7 linked regions of the Neurospora crassa OR74A genome follow. The protein of the gene in region 2 purifies or fractionates together with the protein of the main gene of each other region. This does not show direct contact. Links are inferred from orthologs where the notes say so. Each region holds a gene or a part of one and is shown on either strand. Other genes may lie near its edges.

What was found.
Region 1: the proteins of NCU01515 (region 2) and ssp-1 purify together in Saccharomyces cerevisiae (affinity purification with mass spectrometry; 4 studies listed by BioGRID). This does not show direct contact. The link is inferred for Neurospora crassa OR74A from reciprocal best matches to the Saccharomyces cerevisiae genes RPB3 and ESS1.
Region 3: the proteins of NCU01515 (region 2) and NCU00444 purify together in Saccharomyces cerevisiae (affinity purification with mass spectrometry; 9 studies listed by BioGRID). This does not show direct contact. The link is inferred for Neurospora crassa OR74A from reciprocal best matches to the Saccharomyces cerevisiae genes RPB3 and TAF14.
Region 4: the proteins of NCU01515 (region 2) and pph-3 purify together in Saccharomyces cerevisiae (affinity purification with mass spectrometry, with the first as the bait; 3 studies listed by BioGRID). This does not show direct contact. The link is inferred for Neurospora crassa OR74A from reciprocal best matches to the Saccharomyces cerevisiae genes RPB3 and GLC7.
Region 5: the proteins of NCU01515 (region 2) and NCU09300 purify together in Saccharomyces cerevisiae (affinity purification with mass spectrometry; 3 studies listed by BioGRID, with this or other methods). This does not show direct contact. The link is inferred for Neurospora crassa OR74A from reciprocal best matches to the Saccharomyces cerevisiae genes RPB3 and FCP1.
Region 6: the proteins of NCU01515 (region 2) and NCU04191 purify together in Saccharomyces cerevisiae (affinity purification with mass spectrometry, with the first as the bait; 4 studies listed by BioGRID). This does not show direct contact. The link is inferred for Neurospora crassa OR74A from reciprocal best matches to the Saccharomyces cerevisiae genes RPB3 and RAI1.
Region 7: the proteins of NCU01515 (region 2) and NCU06260 purify together in Saccharomyces cerevisiae (affinity purification with mass spectrometry; 6 studies listed by BioGRID, with this or other methods). This does not show direct contact. The link is inferred for Neurospora crassa OR74A from reciprocal best matches to the Saccharomyces cerevisiae genes RPB3 and CEG1.

What each region holds. Positions count from the first base shown.
Region 1 is NC_026503.1:4,945,918-4,949,674, forward strand, and holds ssp-1 (peptidyl-prolyl cis-trans isomerase ssp-1), read right to left. Parts: upstream 2,311-3,757; 5' UTR 2,175-2,310; intron 2,018-2,174; 5' UTR 1,968-2,017; coding exon 1,959-1,967; intron 1,891-1,958; coding exon 1,618-1,890; intron 1,455-1,617; coding exon 1,198-1,454; intron 982-1,197; coding exon 972-981; 3' UTR 501-971; downstream 1-500. UniProt on the Saccharomyces cerevisiae protein: Essential PPIase specific for phosphoserine and phosphothreonine N-terminal to the proline residue.
Region 2 is NC_026502.1:3,218,390-3,222,440, reverse strand, and holds NCU01515 (DNA-directed RNA polymerase II polypeptide), read right to left. Parts: upstream 2,630-4,051; 5' UTR 2,390-2,629; coding exon 2,324-2,389; intron 2,251-2,323; coding exon 1,685-2,250; intron 1,605-1,684; coding exon 1,223-1,604; 3' UTR 501-1,222; downstream 1-500. Other genes in the region: NCU01514 (mitochondrial dicarboxylate carrier), read left to right, coding at 1-66; NCU01516 (mitochondrial co-chaperone GrpE), read left to right, coding at 3,196-3,468, 3,548-3,991. UniProt on the Saccharomyces cerevisiae protein: DNA-dependent RNA polymerase catalyzes the transcription of DNA into RNA using the four ribonucleoside triphosphates as substrates. Component of RNA polymerase II which synthesizes mRNA precursors and many functional non-coding RNAs.
Region 3 is NC_026503.1:3,880,445-3,884,389, forward strand, and holds the start of NCU00444 (transcription initiation factor TFIID subunit 14), read left to right. Parts: upstream 1-1,145; 5' UTR 1,146-1,976; coding exon 1,977-1,988; intron 1,989-2,170; coding exon 2,171-2,354; intron 2,355-2,445; coding exon 2,446-2,838; intron 2,839-2,910; coding exon 2,911-2,978; intron 2,979-3,051; coding exon 3,052-3,075; 3' UTR 3,076-3,945. Other genes in the region: NCU00443 (ran-specific GTPase-activating protein 1), read left to right, coding at 1-119. UniProt on the Saccharomyces cerevisiae protein: Functions as a component of the DNA-binding general transcription factor complex TFIID, the RNA polymerase II associated general transcription factor complex TFIIF, and the chromatin-remodeling complex SWI/SNF.
Region 4 is NC_026503.1:2,384,687-2,388,749, reverse strand, and holds the start of pph-3 (serine/threonine-protein phosphatase PP1), read left to right. Parts: upstream 1-1,263; 5' UTR 1,264-2,226; intron 2,227-2,374; 5' UTR 2,375-2,532; coding exon 2,533-2,712; intron 2,713-2,815; coding exon 2,816-3,217; intron 3,218-3,297; coding exon 3,298-3,597; intron 3,598-3,659; coding exon 3,660-3,688; intron 3,689-3,777; coding exon 3,778-3,793; 3' UTR 3,794-4,063.
Region 5 is NC_026507.1:20,301-24,290, reverse strand, and holds the start of NCU09300 (RNA Polymerase II CTD phosphatase Fcp1), read right to left. Parts: upstream 2,801-3,990; 5' UTR 2,656-2,800; intron 2,568-2,655; 5' UTR 2,121-2,567; intron 2,020-2,120; 5' UTR 1,955-2,019; coding exon 1-1,954. UniProt on the Saccharomyces cerevisiae protein: Processively dephosphorylates 'Ser-2' and 'Ser-5' of the heptad repeats YSPTSPS in the C-terminal domain of the largest RNA polymerase II subunit (RPB1). This promotes the activity of RNA polymerase II.
Region 6 is NC_026505.1:5,153,122-5,156,687, reverse strand, and holds NCU04191 (rai-1), read right to left. Parts: upstream 2,313-3,566; 5' UTR 2,304-2,312; coding exon 2,136-2,303; intron 2,080-2,135; coding exon 1,837-2,079; intron 1,762-1,836; coding exon 1,702-1,761; intron 1,634-1,701; coding exon 1,626-1,633; intron 1,573-1,625; coding exon 1,478-1,572; intron 1,408-1,477; coding exon 1,237-1,407; intron 1,161-1,236; coding exon 861-1,160; intron 776-860; coding exon 582-775; 3' UTR 501-581; downstream 1-500. Other genes in the region: NCU17026 (hypothetical protein), read right to left, coding at 1-179; NCU04190 (exocyst complex component Sec8), read left to right, coding at 2,796-3,566. UniProt on the Saccharomyces cerevisiae protein: Decapping enzyme for NAD-capped RNAs: specifically hydrolyzes the nicotinamide adenine dinucleotide (NAD) cap from a subset of RNAs by removing the entire NAD moiety from the 5'-end of an NAD-capped RNA.
Region 7 is NC_026503.1:2,102,469-2,106,150, forward strand, and holds NCU06260 (mRNA-capping enzyme subunit alpha), read left to right. Parts: upstream 1-1,147; 5' UTR 1,148-1,604; coding exon 1,605-1,783; exon of another isoform or gene 1,784-1,793; intron 1,794-1,846; coding exon 1,847-2,876; 3' UTR 2,877-3,182; downstream 3,183-3,682. Other genes in the region: NCU06261 (uracil phosphoribosyltransferase), read right to left, coding at 3,587-3,682. UniProt on the Saccharomyces cerevisiae protein: Second step of mRNA capping. Transfer of the GMP moiety of GTP to the 5'-diphosphate terminus of RNA via a covalent enzyme-GMP reaction intermediate.

The sequences.
Region 1 (3,757 bases), on a different chromosome or scaffold from region 2:
AGAATGTTAACACTCGGCTACTTACTTACCTCTAGGTAGCTAATGAAAAGCCCTAATGTTATCATATGTAGGAGGACTTGGTAGTCAACAAGGGCATAATGTAGGTACCTACCTAGGTAGGGACCTTAGGTAGGTAGGGTAGGGACCTTAGGTACCTAAGTAGGTAGAGAGAGGTACGGATCACGCACACGCATACATGGATGATGCACGCAGCTTGCTCAGGTAGACTAGACTAGACTAGTAAGTACGTAGTTAGTTAGTTGCTCATTGATTGATACGTATTCTCCCTTTAACTTTAACGCTGTTTCTTCTACCTTACCTTAGTTAATAATAGTGTAAAATAGCTCCAGACATGTCGATTCTGTCTTTCCATCTTCCTAGGTCTCGAACCCCAGCCAGCCACATAGAGAGGGGATCGGAGGTAATCTAAGTAAATAGCTAGTACTCAAGCTAGGAATCACTTGGGGTGCTTGCCTGGCCGTCGCTTAGTTACTTGGGGCATTGGACCATGTTAGGTCCCCGTTGTGTATTGTGTGTGTGTCTCGAAATGTGAAATGTTTTATTTTGTCTGCTTTTTATTTTTTATTCTTTTTGTTCCTATCCGGCTGTTTTCCTTTGGGTTTCCCCCCTATCCGCACTTGAGCCAGGAGAACCCAGATATTTCTACCTAGCCTTTTGTTGCCTTTTTCGTACTACGTACAGTAATCCGACAATATCAAAGTTCCAGTGACCGCATAATGGCGTAATGCGTCATCGCGGCCATCATCTTTTGGGTTTCCGATATAAAGAGTTGTGTTCCCGGTCTCATCCCTCGAATTCCTCCTCTCCTTCGTACCATCGCAAAGCGCCGCGCTCGAAGCAAAATCCCTAATTCGTCTTCCCTATACTATCATGCACGCTCTCAGCGCCCTTTGATGTTCCTCTTTATCAGAGGCAGTGGTCATTATTGATCGTCGTGGCGTATCGGGATCCTACTCGAGCCTGTACCATTCCCCAATGTCGTCGTCAGCAAACTTTTGTTCGTTCACGAATGATGTCCGTCTTGCCAGCGACTGGTGTCACTCGGTAGTAGCGGCGGCCGTCACCACACACCACCAGATAACCGCAACACACGTCCACCTCCAATATACTCTCCGTACCCTCCTTCTTCTTCTCTTCCTTCTTCTGATTCTTCGAGGAAAAGAAATGTCGACTAACCGTTCAATCAAATGCAACCCACTAGCCGTGTCCACGATGCCGCTGATCTCGCCAGGCTTCAACGCAAAAGCGGCATCCTCAAACTCCTTTTGCATGTCGCCGCGTCCAAAGTAGCCGAGGTCACCCCGCTTCCGAGCAGAGGAGCAGTCGGACTCGGTCAGGGCCAGCTCGCCGAGGGAAATGGAGCCGGACTTGATGCGCTGTTCGAATCCTTGCAGGGTAGTGAGGGCTTCTTGCTTGGTGCGGGTAATCTCGGACTGTCATTGGTGGTTAGCGACGGTCAGAAAGAGAGAAAGAAAAACAAAACGAGCGCAGCGAGCAGCCCTCCGAAGGAGCCTCCCCGGAGGGGCCGCCGGAGGCAACAACAAACACCAGGCACTCCGGACGCAACTTGAAATGGACAACGGGAAGGGGACTCACCTCGCGCCAAGAACTGGGCCTCCTGCTCTGGTTGTGCTTGACCAGCAAATGCGCACACCTGATCTTTCCCTGTGGTTGTTGCTGCTGTTGTTGTTGCTGCTGTTGACTCGTGGGCGAGTGGTACTTGGCCATGTAGATCTTGAGCTTGTCGACGTCGGTGCCCGAGGGTGGCTCCCAGCGAGAGGTCTTGGTGGCGCTGTTGAAGTAGTAGGGCAGGTTCTTGGATTGCGAGTGGCGGACTTCCCAGTCTTCGGGGAGACCGGTCTCGATGGTCTGGGAAGGGGGGAAGGGGGGGGGTCAGCTCTGTTGTTCTGGATGTTGCGAGTGGTGGGTTGACTTGCGTTGGACATTATGACGGTTTTGGTGGTGGTTGTAGTGGTGATTGGTTCGTAGGTCGGTTCTGTGAGAGCACGATGCGGTTCGCGGTCAGTAAGTAGCTTAGTCCTCGAGTACTGTAGGCGGATAGCCTTGTGGCGGTCGCGATGTCAACGGGGAGAAGGAGGTTCAGGCGCAATTGCGACTCGCGTGATCAACCAGCGAGGGGCATGGTGACGTACCTTGAGTTGCGCCGGTAGAGCTTCGACAATGAGAATTAGAAAGCGACTACAAAAAGGAGAGATGGAAAACAGAAGGAGAAATTGACAAAGGGAGAATTGAACTTTTTAGATCACCTGGCAACGGCGGGGGGGGAAGGAGGAACAGGCAGAGAAACATCCAGCACCACTCCGGCCAAGACTCTCCCGGTTCTAGGCAATGGAGCTCTCCGTCGTCAGGGACGTCAGCTTGTCGGCGGCTCCACACCTCACAAGGCACAAAAAGCGGGGACTTTCTCTGGGGGAGCGGGGTCGGGCAAGGGGACAGGTACATAGGTACCATAGTACCGCCCGTTGTGTTTTCCGCGATTGGGGATTCGTTCGCGGGGACGGAGCTGTCAGGGGCACCATCTTGTTAGTGGGATGGTGTGGCAAGCCCAGCAGGTTCTTGTCCTTGTCGACATGTCCTCGTGTGGGTGCCACTGCCATCCTCCGAGTTGTTGCTTGGTCAGCTTGAGGCTGCTTGCTTACCTCTAGTATTCTTTATCACCTTGATGGCCTCATTTAGTTCTCTATTTGAGATGAATTAGGTTGAGTTATGGAAGCCACTTGAACTGATACCAGTTGTACTAACAATTCATGCTGGTTTTTTATACTTTGTTTTCATCAAAAAGGTCACACCTCACCAAACATGAAAGACTTGAAGTACCGGCCCGTTGGTTCTCGACAACAGGAACCAAAGCTGCGAACCTGCAGCCCGGTCGTGTGCTGTGTAGCATCGGATGAGCACCATGATCCTCGTCGCCCTCTCATGAGCCATCCACACTTTCTCGATCCGTCGTCAGTTGCTGCTGCATCGGGACACCCCACGCAACAGTTCCTTGGGGCCTCGTGATTCTCCGTGCATAGAGTGGGTGCCACACACGGACTTGCTGTGCCCTTGAATATTGGGGTCACGGGTGGGCGGGAGGAGAGAGAGGATTTGGCACATCGAGATGAATTTTTCAACAAAAGACTATCCATATTACATACGATGATAAATATTTACAAAGGCGTCCATCCCCTCTGAAGCCTCATGACATTTAACAGACAGGTGCTCGTGGTCAACTCCATGACGTCGTTGTGGATTCCAGTAGTGTGTACTCTCTTGTCATTTTGTGTGAGACCTGAAGCCCCTGATGCGCTGTAATGGTGTATCGGTCCCTGTTGACTGCGTCTTGTCCTCGCCCGTTTACTCGAGACAGGACACCAAGAACAAGACACTTTGGGGAGGGAAGCATGCATGGCGCTCCAGTGAATTGAACTTGACAAGTTTGGATCGAGGCGGTTTGATACACTCGGGTCTCCGTCGGCAATAAAAACACAACGAATCATGGCTCATGCGAAACCGGGCATCCAAATCGAGGCTTTGCCAAATAATGGTCTGCAACAAGCAACACTTTTCGGTCTGACTGGCCTGTTACTTGCAGCCTGGAGTCCCGCCTGTCCAGTGTTCTGCCCCTGACCGTGACTTCACCCAAAGCGGCAAGGCGGTGAAGGGGTTTGGCAGTGGCAGCCATCCTTGTCACCCTCCTTGGGCCCCGATTTTCCAAGGTCCCAGGGCTGTT
Region 2 (4,051 bases):
TGCACCTTCATCTTCTTGGAGGGCCATCGGAAGATGTACAAGAAGGTCAAGGGCATTGAGGAATGAGTTGTCATTTGCTCCTCTTCCTGGCTACCTACCTTTTCTAATCTCTCTTTCTTTCTTCACCTTTCCTCCCATGTCCAGTCTTGGGAGTCTGCTTCTTAGACGGACTAGCAGCAGCAACAGCGGGTTTTCAAATGCATTTCAATCAAAAAGTTTGTGGGTGGGGACATAATGGCCGGATTTGTATAGAGGAAATCTGCATTTTAGAGGCCGAGTGGTGGTCTTTCTGTCAGGACCTAGATGGCGATACCTCATGTTTTCTTGTTCATAGGTTTCCTTTGTTAGATGTTCCCTCATCCGTCAGGCATTGAAGCGGCGGTAGGGCTGTCATTTCGATGGTGTTTTGGCTTTATGTAGTCTTACCCTGGGAGTTTGGTGTTTCCTGCAGAGTTGTGTAAAGCAAATAGACCAGAGCAGCAAGTGCTTACTAGACTCCAGCAACCGGCGAGAATGGCATCTTGATTTTTTATGAACCTCGCACTTTCGAACCGTTTATGAATGTTTTTTTTGGGTATTTTGGTCCCCTATGTAGTCGCCAGACCATGGTAACTATATTCACCTTTTGTCTATACCTCGCAATTGTGCGATAGATCATTTGCAGGGTGCCAATAACAGAGAGAGCTGTCCTCGTTCCGCTGCCTAGTATATGTGGTGTCTGGACGAGGGACGCTCAAATAAGATATGCTCTGGTTCCTCTCGCCCTGACTTGAATCCCTTCAGAATGCGCCTCTCTCCTCTCCCCTAATGTCAAGATCCAGCTCCCAAAGTTCCTTTTCCCAGTTTCCCCCAAAATTGACCTTGACGTGGCGGCTCGTGCCTAGCGCCAAAAGTCCGATATTTGGCCCTGATCCGTTCCGTGGGCCTCAGCCACAAAGTGTGGTTGAGTTACGGTCCCCGCAGTAAGAGACGGAGGCGCCACGATTACTAAGTAGATGCTGAGCTGGTGGTGATGGCGCGAGTGTGTGTATAGGAATGCGAATCTCAATCTTGTTTGAATGGTAAAAGTGTTGTGTTGTTAATCGAAGTGCGCAGCTCGAACTCGCGCCGCAAAGATACCGCAGATACCCAAAACCTCCCGGAAAAGACAGGCGCAATGACCTCGCAAGCCATCAGGAGGAGTAATTGACGTCGCAAATCGTAAACTGTAAGCATATGATGCTCAAGACCAAGGGTTTTGGCCGCCTCCGTAGGGAGTCGCTCCGTAGGGCGTGGTACCTCCCTGACCTCCCCAAGAGCTCTGGTTTCCTCCGTTTCCATATGGCGTAAACGATCCTTGGTCGTTCCAGTTGTCGCCACCTTCGTTGTAGCCTGGGCTGCGCGGTCCGTTGTATCCGTTCTCACCACCATCGCTTTCGGTAAGTTCGTGGATCAGACCAGCCAACTTCTGCTGGATGACCTTGATGCCTTCAGTGACAATAGCATCAGGGGGAATAGGACCGGCGGTTTCGACGTTGTAGTAGAAGCGTTGTGGTACGGCATCGTAATCGAACGGTTCGCCCTCCTGGGGAGGCTCCTCCCAGTCGGCGTACTCCGAAGGAGGCCTGGAGAGAAAAACAAAATGGTGAGACATCGGTCACATCAAAGGGAATTGGAAAAAGTGAAGATGATGGAATGTACTTACCACTCCTTCTTAGGATCCTGCTCATACCACAAGTCGAGGTGGTGCAGCTTGTTGTGAGGATCGTACTCGAAGCCGATGGCGGCACTTGGGGCCCATTTGGAATGCTCCTTTGCAATACCCTTCTTCGCGATGCATTGGAGCTTGATCTCCTGACCGTGACGAAGCTTGAGGATGAGGGGACCTTGGCCTTCAGGATCATTGATGATAGGCGAGCCGAGAACTTGGTTGACGCGATCGCCGACTGGAACAAGATCGCGGGCACAGACTTGCATGATGTCGTCGCCAGTGCACTTGGCGTGAAGGTTGAGGGTCACACTGCAATGCTCGCAGTATTCGTCGCAGTCGCAGTCCCTAGAATACAGAAGCTGCTCGATACCTTCGGCGTTGAGTGGAATCAGGCCCAGGCGGTGGGCAATGAATTCGTCGGCCAAAACGGAGCTGTTGGCCTCGATCTCGACTAGATCGATGGCAATCGTGGGAATCTCGGCAAGCATGACGCGACGAAGGGAGTTGGCGAAGCTGAGCTCGGTGTTGGAGAGCTCAAACTTGACTCGGGTGTTGTCCGCCTAGAATGATGGTTTAGAACGATGAACGAGCAGCTGAGCGCAATTGCTGTGAGCAAGAGCACACAGAACATACTTGTGAGATCTTGACGACCGGTCCCAGGGACTCGGCGTCGTCCATCACCATCGGATCGTAATCCATCTTTGCGTGTTGACCGGCGGTCGGTCAGTTGTTCTCGCTACAGTCGGCAGTTCTCGATGGTACGTTTTGTGGTGTATGATAAAATTTGGATGCGGGGGGAGAAACGGTTCAGGAAGTTGTGGTTCGAGGCAGGGTGAGTTGCGGTTGAGGTGGCCTTTGTTGAGGGCCGGTTGATGCGAAATGCAAGTTGCGGACTGATTTCGGTTTCCGGCGCGTTGACGGGTCGAGGTTCGGAGGCGCCACCACCTATGGTAGGACTGAGTGCGGCCAGTCGCCAATCTTGCCTCTGGCTGAGGCCGCAGCGGGCAGACAAAGTGACCAGGATTAAGCTGGCCTTATCTTCACATGACCTGGCGTTGGCTAACTCCACGGCGTGTCTTTAACAGAGTAGGTAGGAGCAGCCAGGTCCATCTCGACTCCCCCGCACAAAAGAGCCCCGCCAGGCACACCCGGGGCGCTGAGGTGTCGAAGCTCCAATTGTCGATTTGAGCAAAACTCGATGGTCCGGCAGGCAATTCGTCGATTTTGGGCGGTCCGTTCATGACCCGCTTTTCGGTTCGCTCCCGCCCAGCCGGCCGACAGGATTGATGCAGCAGCAGCACCCACCCTCCCACCATCCCACTGTGGGAGACACTGCGAAGGCCCCTGTTGGCCGCCCAACCCGCCGCCCGTCCATGCCGTCTCCGTCCCGTGCTAGCGCAGCTGTCTCAAAATTTCTGAGAAAGTGCCTCTCTCAACACGCGACGCTTCCCTGTCTCTGACATCGCCACATCTCACCACCCGTCACATCCAGATACCCAGCCAACATGCTACGAACAGCCCTCACCCGCTCTTCCAGAGCCCTCTGCTCCGGCGCCCGCGTTGCCGCCCAGCGCCCTATTGCTTCCCAGATCTTCCAGATGCAAGCTGCCCGGACAGCTGCTCCCCAGCTGCGCTCCGCCGCCCGGTGGTACAGCGCCGAGGCTGAGGGTGAGAAGAAGGCCGACGAGGGCGCCGAGCAGAAGGAGGGTGAGACCGATGAAGTTGCTGCCCTCAAGAAGCAGCTCGAGGCCAAGGACGCCGAGGCCCGCGAGTGGAAGGTTGGTTCTTGAGCTTCAAAGCATATGCACATACAGCCATGATGGACAAGTCACTTACACGGGATGCCCCTCTCTACAGGACAAGTGCCTTCGCACCGTCGCCGACTTCCGCAACCTCCAGGAGCGCACCGCCCGCGACGTCAAGCAGGCCAAGGACTTTGCCATTCAAAAGTTCGCCAAGGACCTCGTTGAAAGCGTCGACAACTTCGAGCGCGCCTTGAGCGTGGTTCCTCAGGACAAGCTCAAGTCGGAGGAGCAGTCTGAGCACCTCAAGGACCTCGTCAACCTCTACGAGGGTCTCAAGATGACCGAGAGCATCCTCCTTTCGACCCTCAAGAAGCACGGTCTTGAGCGCATCGAACCTGAGGGTGAGGTCTTCAACCCCAACGAGCACGAGGCCACCTTCATGGCGCCCATGCCCGACAAGGAGCACAACGTCGTCTTCCACGTCCAGCAGAAGGGCTTCAAGCTCAACGGCCGCGTCCTTCGCCCTGCCCAGGTCGGCGTCGTCAAGAACAAATAAATGTCTCTTTCTGTTTCATCCAACAACCGGAAAAGGGCTACGGAGAGATTCTTGGCATGG
Region 3 (3,945 bases), on a different chromosome or scaffold from region 2:
CTTTCAAGGATGCCTTTATCAAGGCCCAGAAGGACAACGAGGCTCTCTTCAAGGCTGCCGAGGAGGCCGCCGAGAAGAAGGAGGCTGAGGAGGATTCCGAGGACGAGAAGGCCGAGTAGATGTGTGGTCTAGTTTTGCATGAATTTGAAGTTGCTTTAGGGAAAGTTTTTCAACCACCCCGTTCTATTTTCCGTTTTGCTAGGTGTTAGAGGGGACGATGACATTACTACCTCCATGGGCTGGGCGATGGAATGAATGAAAGGACCGCTACAGAAGTTATGACGATGATGATTCCTAGGCTAGAGAGCTGGTACATGGGCAGCGTGTGCGAGAACAAAAGGTTGAAGTATCCGACATGAAAGCACTATTCAGGTGTGCGTTTGACGAGATTTCAATATACTGGTAACATACTGCGACGGCCCTTTTGCAACTATGGCTGGCAAGGAGGATGAGGATGGGGATTACTCTTAAGGGATCTAAATAACCTTTAGCTTAACCAACAGTTTTAGATAGAACAACTCACTACCCTTCACACCGATGCATTGCCTTTGGGGGTTTTTGATCAAGTTCTTGTACACACAACCTCGCCTCGTCATACCTGGCTGACGGCTTAGCACGATGGTCCACCAAAACATGAGACGAATCTGATGGACTGGCTAGCTGACGGAAACCTGAGCCTGTCTTGAAAGAAACACAAATACTGAATTCCGTTTGCCAAGTCGTCCGTGACGCGGTCTGGCGACGACCGTATAAAAAATCTGGTTGTTTTGCGGTTTTGGAGGTTTCTTCTCTTCTTGACTACCTTACGGCGAGCTGACGACGATCCTCTTCTTCGCCAGCGGTCTCTCACTACTCTTCTCCCGACGACGCAAAATCACATCTTGGAGCAATTTACTTCAAGATTTCAGGGTCTACTTCAGCATCACCGTCGTCTTTGACAACTTCTTTCCAAGACTTCTGCTTTCTCGATCATCGCGATATTTCGATTAGAGTGGTGATATCTTCGTTCACCTAGGTGAGCTCACCTTGCTTACATCCACGGTGAGGGGTAGAGGAATGCCGGCAAAGCGAGCTGACGCTCACTGCATCACAGCGCACCAGCCACAGCACGCACAGCGGTACCTCACTGAGTGCTAGCGACGGGACAATGGTCGACTTCAGCCATGGTTACGGTTTTGACTATGGCGGCGCCGCGACGCCTCCGTTCGCGAATGACGAAGGTATGTCCCGCTTGAACCAACTTCATCGGAGTGTACATATATTGCACAGTGACCCAAATTCCCAACCATCCAAGTCGCATCAGCACCATAACTCAGTAAAAACCTTCCCACATTGCCTTGCTTGAACACTCCCTTGAGCATTTTTCAACCCAAGGCCATCAGAGAGGAGACACGCTCTTAACCTTAGCCCCTCTTCACGATCACGATCGCGTTCCCATCCAACTTTTGCCTATCCCAATTTGTACGCTATACACCTTAGAGCTACGTTATCCCCATCATTATCCCTGGTTCCCAACCGCACGCCACGGCCCGCCGCGGTACCTTTACCCCTCCGTAACGGACGACCTTATTCTCTACCGCTACAAAGCCCAACTCTAGCAGCGCGACGGAATCTGCGACACACCAACACATACAACACACCAAACACTATAGAGCCCATTGCCAGACAGCCCAACGGATACAACAACGTCGTACATCCTCGAATCCTTGCTCTTCCTCAAGAGCCCGAACGCCACTGTCTTACTACTGTCCTGTACTCGAGACACCGACCGAACGCCGATTGTCAAAAGAGTGCTGTTCGAGTACTAGGACACGAGCAAGTGAAGAGAAGTACACAAAGCTAACCGCGGGAATCCATCCAATTTCTGGGAAGCAGAGGGCCTTGAGGATCGGTCGGACGTTCCCAGTAGTGCTAGTAAGAATACTCGAACCAAAGCTACTAGAAGGAATCCGAAGCGGGTTCCAGGCGCAAACAAGATGATCGTCGAGGTTAGTTTCCGGATTCCCAGTCCAGTGTGGTTGGTAGCTTGCGCAAACAGGGTGACCACTGTAGCGGCATACAGAACAGGTGCAGAGGCAGGGAAAGGAAAGGCCCTAGGAGGAGAACGTTCCGGGATAGCTGTTGTTCGGGAAATGGATTCGACGGCTAACGTGGGTTTATTTGTCTACAGCGCAAGATCAAGGTTGTCACAGAACAACACAATATCAACAAGCCGGCGGCACAGGAGGGCTACCCCATGAAGGAGTGGACGGTCGAGCTCTATATTCTCGACCAAGATGGCAAGGAGAGGCCCGCCAGGTGCTTCACGAAGGTGACCTACAACCTTCACCCTTCGTTCGCGAACCCTATCCAGAGTAAGTAGACACCGGAGCGGCCGCCGGTCACCTCTCCCCATCTCTGTTGTGTCTCGAGAGCCAGAGGTTGGCTAACGCGTCGCAAATTCAGCTTTCAACGATCCTCCCTTCAAATGCACCAACGAGGGCTGGGGTGAATTTGAGATGATCATCGATATGTACACCACCGAGAAAGGCGGCAAGATCTCGATCGCGCACGACCTGAACTTCCAGCAATCAGAGTACGAAAACATCCATACCGTCACCTTCCGTAACCCATCTCAGGCGCTCCAGCAGCTCCTGAGAGAGACGGGTCCCTTGCCCTCGGACGAGGAGCGCAAGCAGAAGAAGGCGGTGGACGGCGGTTCCAAGAAGAAGCGGCCCTACGACATCGAGCGTATGGCGGATGGCTTGACGAAGCTGGGCGAGGATGACCTCCTGCAGGTCATTCAGATGATCCACGATCACAAGGATGACAATACGTACATCCAGAACAACCTCGATGGTAAGTTTGCCCGCTAGGGAGTGTGGCCCCTGGAGGCAACACGAGCTGATGGCTGACTGGACATGTCTATAGCGGGCGAGTTCTCGGTGGATCTCTACACTCTTCCTGACAACCTCATGAAGATGCTCTGGGAGTTCTTGGTAAGTTGTTCTTCCCATTCTTTTGCCCCCTCAATCGGATCCTTCTGTAGCTAAATCGCTAATATTACCACAGGTCAAAGCCAACGTAGTCTCATAGTACGACTTCCTTGGTCCAAGTAACCTACAGTAGTCGATGGCCATCGATTTACGAAGTCATCAGGGACGGGAACATTCTTCCTTACTAGATCGCAGTGCGCACCATACCATACCCAGTACACCACCACCCTCTTTATTCACTATTATTGATCCCTTGACACTTCCATCCACATCAACATCAACCACCTTCACCATCATGCCATTGTAGCCTTAGGCTTCTTCGGCTCCTGCATTACCGTGGCGTTTATGGAGTTATGGTGGGATACGCAAAAAGCAAAAATTGAGAAAGATTCAAGAGCTTCTCTTGACAAAATTTGTGCTTGATTTGATCTTCCAGATTTCTTTCTTTGCGTGATATTCGATGGTCTAGGGTGTGTTCCGTTGAACCGTTTCCTTTCTGCCGGTGGGATCGTTGCCTTGATTGGTGGTGTCTGCTCGTGAGGACTGCTCTTCACTGGAAGGGAGTGGCATCGCTAATCAGTTTGTGCTTTGGGCGGACCTTGAACCTTATCATGTGCAAGGTTTGCCCCTCTAGGTAGGATCGTCATAGGGAAATTTGAGACTGTTTATTGGAAAGAAAGGTTCGGGAAAGGATGGGTAAGAGGTAGAAAGGAGGTATGTAATAGATCCCACGCCCATGGAATTCGGAAGGGAAAGAGAAGCGGTTATGTTGTAGGCGGTACCTAGTTCTCGATCACGGTCTCTCTACGTTGCTCGTCGTATGGCGGTATTAGAAGCAGAGAACATGCTGTATGGTTTAGTTTACACAGTTCAGGGTATGGAGCAGCAGTAACTGTCCGTTCGCCTTAGTCTCCGTGTCTCCTGTGCCTGGACTAGAGCGCTATAGATCTGCCAGCACCCTGCCAGATAG
Region 4 (4,063 bases), on a different chromosome or scaffold from region 2:
GATATGCAGCTAAGCATCACCTATGACCGCAGAGGACTACCTGGATCTCCAAGATGCCCAAGATTCTCGACAGCCTGACTGAGGCTTTGCGCATTTGCTGTCGAGCTCCCAGTCTCACTGATCTTGCGGATACACGTCGGCGGCTGAGTCGCTCGAATATTTTGCTCGTTGTTGACTGGATATCCGTTGCCTGTCGACCTGTCTTTATACTCCTTCGCTTCGAGCTGTTGTAATCATGCATACCGGGTGCTTGTGCCTGATCTAGGTGTAGGCCATGTAGCCAGGCTGCCCTGCCTATCATTGCGTTTGCGGAACCTGATGCTGATGGTGGGGGGAAACGAGCAAAGAGGACAAAGCCGGAATACCAATGCAAAGTAACAACAAGGCGACCAAGAAGGCATTCCCGTCTTTGCTATTGCCGTGTACATACCAGGTAAGGTGTCACACTCACAGTCCACTATCTCTACACAGGGAGGGGGAAGTTGGAGGGTTGGGAGAGATGGAAGTTCCAGGCGACACCCACCAACGGGATCGCAAGCGGCTTTTAGGCGAGCCAATCCCAGGCCTAGACCTGCCAAGGAGGGTCCGGTGTTCGGGACTCTTGCTAACAGAAGTGCTCGCAGTTGCGGGGGAAGGCAGCGCAGCTCCTACCCAGTCGCGTTAGTGAGCAACATGGACCGACCTATCATCATACCTGCTTCCCCAGAGGCGAGTGCATGCAATTTTTCTCGAGCCAAGTTGGAAGGGCCGCTTCACTGCAACTGGAAAGGGCACAAGGGCTCGGCCAGGATCTGACGGAGATTCAGAGCGGGCGCGAAACCTAGGTAGGTACCTACCTACCTGGCTGGCAACCTAGGTACCAACTACCTAACCTAGCTCACCCAATCTGAGCCTGTCCTTGTTTGGGTTATTTCAGCCGTAGGTAGGTATGTTTGAGTTTAAGTTGAGGGTTGTTCTGGCCTGCCATCGCGTCGGATGTTTCGAGTTTTTTTCGTTCCATGTCACTGAGTGCTGTCCTGTTCATTCCATCGATGTGGATGAGAGCCCAGTCGGCGGAAAAGATCACAACTGCACCGAAACCCGACCCGACCGGACGCCTGTTGTGGTTGTTGTAACGATAACCTGACTGGCAGGCACCGAGGTGACCTGACCTGGGCTTGAAAGAACGCGGACCTGGACCTGGACCTGCCTGCCTACCTCTACCTACTGCTCTCCACTGCTAGTAGGTAGTCTGGAAGCCCTGTGCGTTTCATTAGCTGCGTTGCGTGCGTGTAAATCTTGCTGCTCCATCGGCCCAGTAGCCCAATCCCTTCTCTGCGTCCCCGTCCAGTCCAGTCGCCAGTCTTCTCTACCTACCTACCTCTACCTAGCCCATCGCCCGGCCGGACCCCCCCCCCCCAGCAGCGGGCAGCCCAAGTGGAAGCGTCTGCGCTTGTCCGTCTCCTCCCAAAAGTCTCTAAGCAACCACCACCGACGTTGATTTTTTTCTCCCGACGCTTTCTATCCCAACCAAAACAGGGCGACGTCTTTAACCACAAAGAACGCGCATTTTCAACCCCACCCTGGCGATAGAAGTCCTATTATCATAGGCATCATCTCGCGGTATCTCGTCTTCTGGCCTCCGTCGCTCAATTAGACGCAGCTTTTTCCAGCGACCCTCCGACCGGCCCAGCGCTCTGTACTGCACCTCGCTGCAGCACTTTGCACTCTCCCGGGCAGTCCATCGACCAGTTTTTCCCGACCGTGGTTTTGGCAGTGGCAGTGACAGCCTCTCCCGCAGTCTCAGGACTACTTGAACTCCCCTTCTACACCCGACCTTTTCGAACCCAGATTTTCGACGACGACACGGCGTTTTGCCCCAGCCCCGTCCGCGCGACAAAAAAAAAAAAACACGTTACCTCACAAAGGACGATCAGAGACTTCTGGAGCCGTCTCCTTTTTCCATCATTGCTAACCCTCTTGTCGCCGCGTACTACCGGACCGATTTCTTCGCAATTCCGACGAGATTTGCTTGCGCTTGCTCTAGACCGTTCGCACCTCCGCCAAACCCAGTGACGATTTACTAAAACCAAAGCACAACATTCGGTATCCGAAAGAATACCTATTTCCAGAAAAAAAAAACACCAAAAAAATCACCGCTTGCTGTATTCCCAAGGAGAACGCGTTCGCCTCTCCAAAAAAAAAAAAACCCCCAACAATCGCTTCTTGCTGGGATCGCTTCTGAGCGTAAGTTGATCAACTGCCGTTACATTGCGGCTTCCCAGTCTCTGCCCAGCCGTCGCTCCTCCTTCATTTTCCCGCCATCGCGATCGCGTGCGGCAAACCCCAATCAGAATCTGCGTCGTCATTGGCAATGTCTAACGTCTTGAATTAGTCGTTTAGCTTTGCAGAAGTGCATCTACCCCAGTTTCCTACTCCTTACGCGTGCCGCTCTTTTAGACCCGTCCCATCCGACTAGCTGGGGTTTGTCGGTCGTTACCGTGACTTCGAAAACCTGTGCGCGGTATCTCTCCGGTTGGTGAGGATTTTGCAATGGCGGACCATACCGAAGTCGACCTCGACTCTATAATCGACCGCCTCTTGGAGGTGCGGGGCAGCCGGCCTGGTAAGCAGGTGCAGCTGCTGGAAGCCGAGATTCGCTATCTCTGCACCAAGGCCCGTGAAATCTTCATTTCCCAGCCCATCCTGCTTGAGCTCGAGGCTCCTATCAAGGTAAGCATTGTGTTCTTTCTATTATCCCTTTACATAGCCTCGGCATGCGCCATACTGCCCCTTCGGCAGTGTTCATAGCTGACGTCGTGCCCCACCTCCCTAGATTTGCGGCGATATCCACGGTCAATACTATGATCTCCTCCGCCTCTTCGAGTACGGTGGCTTCCCTCCTGAGGCCAACTACCTCTTCCTAGGTGACTACGTCGATCGTGGCAAGCAGTCCCTGGAGACCATCTGCCTGCTCCTCGCCTACAAGATCAAGTACCCCGAGAACTTCTTCATCCTTCGTGGCAACCACGAGTGCGCGTCCATCAACCGTATCTATGGTTTCTACGACGAGTGCAAGCGGAGGTACAACATCAAGCTTTGGAAGACCTTCACCGACTGCTTCAACTGCCTACCGATCGCTGCCATTATCGACGAGAAGATTTTCACTATGCACGGTGGTTTGAGCCCGGATCTGAACTCAATGGAGCAGATCCGCCGAGTCATGCGACCAACTGACGTACGTTACACCATTCATGCCCGGGCTTTCCGTTTGCTCAGGCTAGTTGCCGTAACATGAGACACTAACAATAGCGCCAGATTCCTGACTGCGGTCTTCTTTGCGATCTCCTGTGGTCGGATCCCGATAAGGACATTACTGGTTGGAGCGAAAACGATCGTGGTGTTTCCTTCACATTCGGCCCGGATGTCGTTTCTCGCTTCCTCCAAAAACACGACATGGATTTGATCTGCCGTGCTCACCAGGTTGTTGAGGACGGATATGAGTTCTTCTCGAAGCGCCAGCTCGTTACTTTGTTTAGTGCCCCCAACTACTGCGGCGAGTTCGACAACGCTGGTGCTATGATGAGCGTCGACGAAAGTTTGCTCTGCTCTTTCCAGGTATGTTTTTCTGACTTTGGCAAGCTCCGAGACCCTTGCACTCTTGCTAACCCCCTTTGCAGATTCTCAAGCCCGCAGAGAAGAAACAGAAGTACGTTCCCAGTCTCAGATGAAGCAATTCAAGACCCCCAAGAAGCACAAGTAAAGAATTTTCTTACGAACACACCCGTTTTCCTTTAGGTTCGGCCGCCGATAAACGTCTGATACTTTCGCCCGCCCGCAACGAACATGAGTATCTTACCGTCAGCTTGTCTACCGCCGCCATGTTTCCTGATCGCCAGGGCTCCCAGCCATCATCCCGTCTGCCGTCTGTTCCGACCACTTCTTTTGGGGAGGTCCTCGCCCCTCCTGCCGTGCCAACGAAACGAAAGCCACGTCTGCCCGTCCTGTCTCTCCATCCGTCCGGTCTCCACACAACTCGAGAGGGTAGGAAGGAAAGGGAATCTTTTTATATCTCGGGGGATGA
Region 5 (3,990 bases), on a different chromosome or scaffold from region 2:
CCTCCTCGTCCTCATCCTCGTCCTCGTCGTTCCCAGTGCTAGCGGCGGTGGCGAACCTGACTCTTGGTGGCGACTTTAATCTCAGGATCCTCTTTTTCCCCGGCGGCGCATTTCCGCTGTCTGTATCATCAGCATCGCTCACCGTCTCTGTCGCCTCGGCATCCTGAACCTTTTCGTTCAACTTCTTTTGCGCATCCTCCAGTCCTTCGATGAGATAAGGCCCCTCCTCCACCACCCTCCATTCTGAGAAACACGCTGCTAGCCAATCCTGGTTGACGATCTTGATTTTGGGCAGGTAGCGTATTGCTTGTCTGACCTTCTTCGTCCGTGGCCTCTGGGAGCTGACTACCAAGTGCGTCACGTCTCGCGTCACGGAGCTGCGTAATTCGGCTCCAAAACTGGCAACTTGCAACCCAATCTCGGAGCGGTAGACGTCCATCCCTATGGGAACAATCCCGGAGAGGACGATTTTACATCCGCTGAGCGCTTGAGCTTTAAGCGTGGTGAGGATGGATCCTACGTCCGGGATGGATTGAGTGTCGAGCGAGGATGGGGAGGAGGAGGGTTGGGAAAGGCGGTTCTGCTCGTACGCTTGAAAAAAGGATTTGTGGAGGGCTGTGAGGTGGTTCTCGAGAAAGGCGAGTTCCCGGTCGTCGTCTTGCAGAACCTGGTGCCGGTGATGAGGGGGCGGAGGAGTGGTGGACTCGGTGTTGCCGCTTTCTGGGGTGGCGGATGCCCTCTCGGCTGCTTCATCTTGTTTGTCTTGCTGCTCTTGCAGCGCTTGCAAAGGCCTGTCTTTGATCTGTTTTTCTAGCGTCTTTTCCTGCTCTTCGAGGGCTTTCTCCAGCGGCGGCTCCATCGTGGTGCTGTCCTCCTTGTCGGGAGATGGCGCCGGTGCAATGCGCGCCAAACCACCATTCGTGGTCGCCGCCGCACTCGGAGTAAGCAGACCCTGTTGCTTCGGCAGAAACCCAGAGTTGATATCACCAATTCCTTTGAAGAAGTCATATGGCGAGACCTTGATCAGATTGGGCCTGTTGCGCGGCCACACGTCCGCTCGATCGTCAATGATCACCACCATCTTGGTGCTGACGGGGAACAAGCGCTGTAGGCTTTTGGCGTACATGTTGCCGTTCTCGTCGCGGCTAATCACCCGATTGCCAAACAGCTTCTTGTCGGGATCGACGATGCGCGCCACATTCTGGGCGTAGGCGCGAGTGCCCATGGTGTAGACGTGTAGCTCGTACATGGTTGAGATCTTTTTGAGAAAGTCCTCGAGGCCTGGCCGCATTTTGATGTAGTACCAGCAGTTGTTGGCGACGCCGCGGGGGCCATCGTCCAGCTGGAAGGACTTGACGTTGCGGACGGATGGGTAGTTGGGATTGGACGGGTCCTTCTGCCACTCGCCAACGGTCGGGTCGATGCAAGCGTGGATGATGGTCTGGTCCAGATCGACGACCAAGCTGAGCTTGCGGTGCTGGAGCAGACGGCGCTGGAGGGCGTTCTCGGTCTTTTGGGCCTGCGTCTCACTGACGGTGAGGTGTGTCTGGTCGTGCACCATGTTGATGGGGGCGCGGTCCATGTCGCGGGACTCGGCGGCCCAGTTGACCTCGGTCATGTCCTTGCCACAGATGGCGCAGAGGCCGCCAAACTGGACATCATGGGAGCACGACTCCTTGACGACCATACAGTCTTGATCTCTGGAGATTTCTTGGCCGACGCGGATCTTCCATGACTTGAGCTCGCCGTCTGAGGGCGAACTCCAGTCGGCGTAGGTGGTTTCTTCGGCTTCCCATGTCTCTCCGCGGATGTTGTCGCCGACGGTGCGCTTCCATTTGAACGAGTACTGGAAGAGCGCTTCCTTTTTCTTGATGGGCTGGTTGGGTTCCTTGTAGAGCTTGGTGATGGTGATGGGGTACCGCAGCCGGCTCCCCAGCTGGATTGTTTTGACCATGGTCGCGAATATGGCTTATCGGCCTGTGCGATCGGTCGGACGATTGTGTAAAGGTGGCGACTCAACTAAGAAGAGTGAGTGTTAGCATCGAGAACCATCATCCGGCGCAATCCATGCCCGGCCACGGCGACGCGCCACCGAGGAGGCTCGCTCGCTGTCCACTTACAACGGTGCTCCCTGAGGAGATGAAAGTAGATGATGGGTGTTTGGTAGAATGAGTAAACCCATAGCGCAACAAGCGCGTGCAGTTTTCGGTGTTGGTTGTTGAAGGCTTTGGTGGTGGGTTTGTCGTGTGGCGCCCGTGATCGATGTTTTGTTCTTTTGCTGTGAATCGCGACAATTGAAGATGGAACGTAGAAGTGCGACCACTCACTGCACGATCGACCTGGATCTGGACCTGGACCTCTGAAGCTCTGCAAGATTCAGAGTGGGGAATATGTCCTGATCAGGTCTAGCGCAGGTAGCTTTGCGGCACCACTTATGGGGCGGAACGAAGGGGTGGTCCAAGCTCTCAGCCAAAAGGGTTGTACTGTAGCTGATCTCGATGTACCTGTACAACAACAGCCAAATTGATTTGGATCAATTCAGTTCCTAGGTAGGTACCTAGGCTGCACTTGGATATCAATGTCAACCTGCATCCAATGTACAGTATGGAAGAGATCATCTTCAAGCTGGTATATTATCTAGAAAAAGTGACTGACAAGTGATGTAATGTGCCCGTAACCCGGTGAGGTGCTACGGAGATGTCTTGGTTGAGAGTTCTGTGCGTGTAGTGATATTGCGACAGTCGGGCGAGTTTGACTTCAGTGAAGCAATGAAACTCGAGGCGGCTCATTTGAAGGCGAGACATGGCCTGCAAAGGCCGCCGAGGGGAGATGGGAGCCGCGCCCTTTTGTACCTCCGGAGGCTGATTTTGGGGAACTTCTCCAACTCGCTTTTGTCAATGGGTGAATTCCAGACCAATCATATACTCACCTGTCTGTGGACTCCATGTCACCCTATCAGTGTCGCGGGCTGTAGAGGTACCGATACATAACAAGACATGGCTGCTGTTACCGCGGGCGGCATTGACTGAGCCAGACCGTTTGCGGGGTTGATAGGTACACGGACGTGCTGCATTGATACCTACCATAAGTGTAGTGGCCAGCAGTCCTCATCATAGGTAGAGGTACCCAAGACTTCTCAAATCCAATCCCATACAGGCATCGTTTTGAAGAATCTGACAAGAAGAGCAGTTCAGCATACACCTCAGTTTTCAACCTCGGCCCCGATACTTCATTGAAAAGGTCCCGTGTGACGGTGTGAGTTCGGGAAGGTGGCGTCCCTTCTTTATGTATTAATGTTCTTTATCTAGAACACATTACACACTGCCCTTCAACCGCGACCATCTTTGTGTCCGTTCCCTTGCCTTTGGTGGTCTTGATGCCCGTGGCTTGCTTCCGGAATTGGCAGAGTGTTACGAGTAGGTGAATGGAAGTCACTGATGTTTAGTGTACAGTCCAGTACTGGTTTGTTTGTTAGCTCGAGACCTTGCGTCAACTTGTCTAGACGTTTTCCTTAGCTAGAGGTAACAACGCCATTTCCGATGTTCAATATATTATATCAATTTTTGTTAATGCCTTTGTAATTCGTACTCAGCCATTTTGACTTGTCCTTGTAAGCTTTTGGACTACTCGGGATTGATATCGTCTCGTGGATAGAGTAGGTACCTACAGTACTGTAGAGGTGCCTAGGTACCTAGTGTACTGAGCCAACAAACAAACCAGCATCGGACTGTATAACGTTTTCCGATTAACGAATAGTGTCTATTATTGATATAATGTATTGATATGATAACCAAGTCAACCCCAGCCCTCCTATTGTGTTTTAGGAGTGTAAGTGCCTTGTACCCTTACTCCAGCACGCCAGCCGTGGCACGAGCCAATGCGTCTGTTTGTTAGTCGTCGTTCTCCGAGAAAATGAATAGGAGAAAGAAGAAGGAAAAAAGAGAAAACACCAAAGAGACAAGCCAGCTATGTCCCGTAATCCATAGCAGC
Region 6 (3,566 bases), on a different chromosome or scaffold from region 2:
GAGGTAACATTCGGATCTCCCCAGACGTATGATAAGGCCGTATACTCCGTTTCCATTGACAGTTGAGTTATGTACAGTCTGCATTGGATGGGGTCTTGAAGACTGTTGGCCGGGAGAAGCTCGAGCAAGCGGATGTCTTTTTGAGAAGTGTCGAGACGCGTGGCGTGGATTGGGGTCATAATGATTTTAAAGGACCGCGAGTTATGACGGACGATTGCTGGACAGAGTCAAGCGATCTATAACCCAGAGAGTGAATGGTGGAAATGAATTCGTGGGTGAATGGAAGCATGGAGATTTTGATGGTTTGGGTTGTTGACAGGGAGGTGAACATTTGTTCAGTTGACAGCGGGGAGCTTCGCGTCTTTAGTGGGTTGAGATTAGATGGAAAGCTGCCTCGCGGCGTGCCTTATCACACGGAAGGTGCAGACAGGTAGGGTTGGATGATGGAAGACGTCGGAACTGGCAGGCAAGAACGAGGGGGGTGGCTGAGAAGCTACCGTGGGTTGCCCAACGCCAATGTACTTCTTTCTATTGGACACTGATGCACATAAGAAGACGTGTACTGCTTCGTCCAATTCAGCTTACTCTTCGGTCTCATTGTCTTCAGTAGGCGGCTGTGCCTGACGAAGCTCGAGCTTGATCCGCCAGTTCATGAACTCATCTGTGATGATGTCTCCGTGGCCCACCTCCTCGACTTTGAACACTTCGATTTCTGCCGACCGAGGCCTTCTCTTGATCCTCCACACGCCCTCGTCGGTGATGGTATGGCGAAGCCCTGAAAAGAGACTGTTAGTCATAGATTCCAAAGCATAAGACGCTTTGCTGGACTTCAAGAAGACAAAGGAAATGACAAGACTCACACTCGAGGAAGCCGTTAGCAAAGTTGACGCACGTATCCCCATCCCATTTTGGCCGCCCATTCTTCTTCACCATGAGCGGTATCTCCATCGTGCGGAACTCTTTGGTCTCAACCAGCAGCCCATCCTGCGTCCGGAATCCGACAATGATCTTGGGGACGCCTAGGAGAAAGGACTGGATCCAAAACTTCATGAGCTTACGCTCAAAGTTATTGGCCTGGCGCTCATTTTGGATTACTGCCGACGTCTTGAGCTCCACCCAGTTGATTGGATCGCCTTGAGTCCTTGGTTTGTCGTCCCATACTAAGTAAGAAAAGACGAGTTATTAGTTGGGGTTGACGAGAGGCGTTAGTATAGGTAGGGAGACAAGAGCACTAACTAGCATCAACCTCACCACCGATACAGAGAATGGTCTTGCCAATGCCTGTACGGACTACTGAGCAGTATTGCTCCTTGTTGTTCACGACATGATCGGGACGGCTTTCAATGAAATCGCGAGAGGTCTGGCCCCATGGTTTCGGAAGTGTGCTCAGAGTCTCAAACTTGTAGCCTTGGAAGCCAGGAGACGTCAGCTTACCAATTCAGCAGATATGAAAGACGTGGACAGTGAGTTAGCTTACCCCAGTACTGCATCACTTCTTGCGGGATTGGCCCGTTCCATGGCCGCTCGTTTGCTCTCGATGCTTGTTTGTATGCATGGTTCTCTTCGATAAATCTTGTCGCCGTCAGTCAAAATAGCATGGGGGCGGAAACCATGTGGTCGCTTACATGCAACCCTTTTACAGCCATGTTAGTATGACAAGGCTTCCCAAGTTAGATGGCCAAGCGGCAGGTGTGGACGAACTCTGTAAAGGGTAGCATTCATCTCAAACCCGTCGTCATCATCAAAGGGGGCTGCCATGATCTATCACGGTGTATATGATGTTAGTGTCCGATATACGAACGACATCATGAAACAGCTAGTCTAAGGGAGACTCGCCTTTGTCATCATGCCTCTCCAAGTTACGATGTGAGCATCGATCGGTTTCGACGTCTTTTGCTCATAGTCGGCTATGGTGGTGAGTAGGCTGTCCAGATGTTCGTCTACACTATCGTCATGTTTGATGAAGCTCTCGAAGCCCTTGGACAGGTCGACGTTGAGGTCTGGTGTGTAATACCACTTCAATGACTGAGCTCCAAGTAAGAACTTGTGATCGGCATCGTATGAGAAGCATGCAAATTCCTGGTCAGACAGTTAGCCTCTCTGGTCTTTGGATGTCTCTAGTAGGTTGTTTCTACCTTTGGCCGTTTGACCAGCTCACTCTTGCCCGCAAACCGTGCTACAGGCTGGATTGGGAAAGCGGCGGTCATGGTAGAAAAGAGCGGTTGTCCGGCGCTGTGTATGTGGATGAAGGCTCTAAATCTGGAATTCCAATGCCCAAGTATAAGGACTTGACGAGTTATCATTAATACTTGAAAGGAGGATAGATGTAGAGAAGAGCCAGGATACCTTTATTGAGGTGGAAGCATCTCGAGCTTGTAATTCATGTCTCGTGGAGGCCGCTGCCCCTGCAGTGATCCGTCGTGCGTGAGGCCCTGTCAGTGGGGTTACGTACCTATGTAGCAACGGCGGGACCCTCTGTAACAACAAACAAGCACTGTACATCCGTTTTAGGGGATCATGAACGTGGAGAGAGGAGGACTTCTTGAGCAACACCAACTAAAGCACCATCATTGACCAACCTAACCTTGACACCCGACGACTCAAGTCCTGGGTGACGACGACTCAACGTCCACTCAGTAACACCTACAATTCATACCAACTGTAGACGGGCCCGGCACACCAAGCAGTAGTTCCATACTGTATACCTTAGGCATGCCGATAATGAAGTACCGCGCAACACGATAGCTCTCCCTCCTCGCGACACCCGGACGCCGAGTCAAACACACACCACCATCATGGCCGACCGATACGGCCAGCAGCCGCAATCCTATCGGGGCAACAGCGGTTTCGGCAACCTTGGCCGGCGTAACGACGACTACGATCCCTACGGTGACGGATATCCCAGCGACCGCTATGGCACCAGCACTAACCCGGCTTCAAGACCATCGACGGCCTCCCGAAATGCGCCCCCGCCCCGGTCTGCCCAGCGTGGCCGCACGGGTGCCGGCGATATGCAGATCCAGTCCAATGCCGAGCGCCAGATTGGAAACGTGCTGGATCTGATCAAGAGAGAATGGCCCGCCATGGTCGAGACAGACTGCATCCCCGTCCAGCTGGCTCTACAGCTTCTCGACACCAGCTCCGTCGGCCGCGCCCACGAATACCGCAACTTCCAGCAGACACACCAGTTCCTCCAAGAGTCCCTCAAGAACATTGTCCACGACCACCACCAAGGCTTCAACAGTTCCATTGGTACATTCCACAAGATCCAAGGGAGCATACAGTCCTCCCAGAAGAAGGTGCGCGCCCTCAAGGAGTCGCTGGCAGCCTCCAAGACGGCACTCTGCACCACCAATCCCGAACTCAAACAGCTACATGCCACGTCACGCATGTACGATGGCGTCCTACAAACACTGAACGAGCTCGATGACTTGCGCACCGTTCCAGACCAGTTGGAGGCCAGGATATCCGAGAAGCGTTTTCTGACCGCCGTCGAGGTCCTGCAGAATGCGCTACGGAAGCTGAGGAAGCCCGAGCTGGATAACATTGGTGCCCTGAGCGACCTG
Region 7 (3,682 bases), on a different chromosome or scaffold from region 2:
GAACAGAGTGGTCCGTTCTCCGAGTGGGTTGGTTCATATCAAACGTCATGAGGGATGATTTATCATGTGGAGAGTGTACCAACAACTTTCCGGGCGTTGAGGAGATGTCAAAAGGGTTGTTTTTTGTCTTGATGACGAATATCAATTTAGACGAGAATAAAACATAATGAGAGTCCATGCATTACGACTGATGGAGCAGGACTACCTATTTTCTGATATTTGTCCCTTCATTTTGTGCAACCCAGGCGGGCATGTTGGACGAGAGGTTGGACGGGTTGCAATGGGCCAGACAGCAGGCAACTACGTAACATGCAACAACGAACCTTGAATGGGCAGGTTCCACACTTCTTTCAAGGAATCTCGGGGGAGATCTGGAGGTGTAGTGTGGTGGAACGTACCTTGCATAGGCCAGATAGTTCACTTTTTGGACAAAAGCATGATCGGCATTGGACTGGTGGTTGCTGCCCCTGAGCCTTTGTCCACTACAACTGCATACGGTGGACCTCAAAGGTGAGTGTAAAGACATGGGAGACTTGGAATCTGATAATACCGTGTAGACTCGGGGCATCCGTTTTCAAGTTCCGTGGAAATCAGGCATGATCTGTGAGCATACTGTACTGCAACATCCATGGCCGCCAGAAATTGTATGCAAGACGTTAGTTGACTTCGAATATCCACCATCCAGCGCCTTTCCAAAAAATAGATGAAAAAAGGCAGAGTATAAGAAGAGTTGAGGTTACAGTTCTCCGGGGTAGCAACAAAACTCCATTTTTAATACTAGTTTTGCGGGCATAATATATACAAATCAGGCATATGCATGTCCGATTATGCCTGATTTCTAGAGAACCTGAAAACAGATACCCCGAGGTTGGGGCGATACAGTAGACGTACCATGTGAATGACGGAGGTGGTTTCCATCCAGGTCGCCTCCTTCACTTGGTCGCGTTCCAGAGGGCATGTAGCGCATATGGATGGTAGGCCTTGCTTCGCAGTATTTAATCAGTAAGTACCTACCTGTAGGTACAGTCCCGGTGAGAATGGAACTGAGACCCACTTGTTTGTGTCACGTGCATTGGCTACTCTTAGCCTATTTAAGCTAGCTTGTCTCTCCAGATCCCTCTTCTCTTCTACTCTTCAGCCTACTTTTGACCAATGAGAAATCATCACTTTTTAGAACCGTTATTTATACAGTAGTACGGGTACACCCACGAACCTCGAGTGGCATCCAGAAAACGGGCTACACCCTGTTGGCATGGCACTTATAGCGTGTCGTCCAGACGGTCCAGGGGATGCGATAAGATAAGCGTCACGCCCAAGAGTTCATGACGACCCGTTCTTGTCGACGAGACTTAGCAATTCGTGGCCTCCAACACCAACTTTGACCTCAACAACTTTTTACAGTCCATTGTTCACCACCCAGCATTTTTTTCGATTCCTCTTCTCGCGGCACAGCCTGAAAGAACCAGTATTGAATCGAACCTACGACATATCACAGCTATTGGATCTAGCCAGCTCTACTCCAGACAGCTGTCGCAAATCACCACCACCGTCTACGTCGTGTCCCGTCGCTCGTCCACGATCCGCTCTCGCTTGCCGCCCTCACAATGGAACAACCAGGGCCCATTACCGACATTGCCAAGCCTGGCATCAAAGCGCCCCGCGATTTGGCCATTTCGCTGCGAGAAGAAGTTGCTCGGATTCTAGGGAGGAGTTCCATTGGCTTTCCCGGAGCACAACCCGTCAGCTTTGCTCGCAAGCACCTGGAGGAACTACGAAGAGAGGAGTAAGCCAAGGCTCGTCTGTTACGGTTGCGCATGTCATGACTTCTGGCTAACCATCCGTAAAGCTACTATGTCTGCGAAAAATCCGACGGCATTCGCTACCTCCTCTACCTGACCGTCGACGAAGAAGGGCAGGAAGTCCAATACCTGATCGACCGCAAAAACGACTACTGGTTCCTCCCTCGCAACAGCATGCACTTCCCCATGCCAAACGACATTCAAGCCTTTCATCGCGGCACCATCATCGACGGCGAGCTGGTGATGGACACAGTGCCCGGCACAAACGGTCGAAAAGAACCGCGCTTCCTCGTCTTCGACCTACTCGCGCTCGACGACAAAGCCGAACTTTTGAACAAACCTCTCGACAAGCGCCTCGGCTACTTCAGCGCCTACATATACGAACCCTACAAAAAGCTGCTTCAACAGTTCCCACAGGAAATTCCCTTCATGGCCTTCAAGGTGGAGATGAAGCGCATGGAGCTGTCGTACGGCATCGAGACCATGTTCCGCGAAGTAATACCTGCCTTGAAACACGACAGCGACGGTCTCATCTTTACGTGCCGCACCACCCCTTACCACTTCGGCACCGACCCGCACATTCTCAAGTGGAAAGCGCCGCACGAGAACACGTTGGATTTCCGCATGCGCCTCAATTTCCCCCTTGTACAAGCCACCGAGGCCGAACTTGACGAAGGGTTTCCCGAACAATTTACAGATTACGACTCGGTCCCACAAGCGGAACTGTACGTTTTCTGCGGCAACGACGGACCGGGCGGAAGCAAATACGAACTCTTTCCGGACCCACTTTATATCGCGGAGGACGAGTGGGAGACGCTCAAGGCGCTGGGCGACCCGTTGCAGGATCGCGTGGTGGAGTGCTGTCTGGATGCCGAAAACCGGTGGCGGCTGTTCAGGTTTCGTGACGATAAGAATGAGGCGAACCATACGAGTACCGTCTCCAGCGTCATGGCGAGTATAAGGGATGGCGTGTCGGATCAGGAACTTCTGAGCGCGGCGACGGCGATAAAGGAGAGCTGGAAGATACGCGCGCAGAAGAGGAAGGAGCAGCAGCAGCAGCAGCAGCCGAAGCACTGATTGTGTGCCCAGCGCTGGCGGAGCAGGCCCGTGAGGTTTGAGCGGTGTTCTTTAGGGGCTATTTGGAGGGCCGGTGACTTTCCTCTTCCCTTCTTGTTTCCTTGTTCTATTTCATCGGTGTTTAGTGGTCTGACTTGGAAACAGGTGCTGATATCTGCACCGACTATACCTGGGCGTTTGGGGAATGGTGGGCTTTTGTTTTGGGCGGTAGCTCTTAATGCATATCTTTTTTTTGCCCTTTCCAGTTGTGAAATGGCATAGAGGGTGATTAGTATTACCCGTGCTGGGACCCCGCAGAGTTCTCTCTCTCTGTGCAGAATTGCGAGTGAGACTTGTCGATTCAAGTGATGTGTATCATTTATTTTGTCTTGGCTATGGGTAAGTTTGTTTCGAGTTGCCCTGATGACTACCCAAAACCATCCAACAGAACAATATTGAACTACCTTGTTGCTTTTAACTAGGTGAAAGACGCTGGGAGAACCTATCGGTCATTGTGCCATCGAATGACATGTCCTTTACATCGAGTTCATCTTACAAAGACCAAATCACTTCCTCAATCAAGTGCGAATGAAAGTAACTCAAAGAGAATTGTAAACTGTGTAAGCAACAGGACATAACGACACACCAGCACATGCATATAACGGTGTTCAATTGTATATCCAAATACTAAATAAATCTAACTCCCATTTCCTCTCCCCTCCCCTCATCATTTACTTGCCAATTGTCAAAAACAAGCGATCCCCCACATCTCCCAATCCCGGCTTCAACATACCCCCCTTTGTAAGTTCCTGGTCCACACCGGCCAG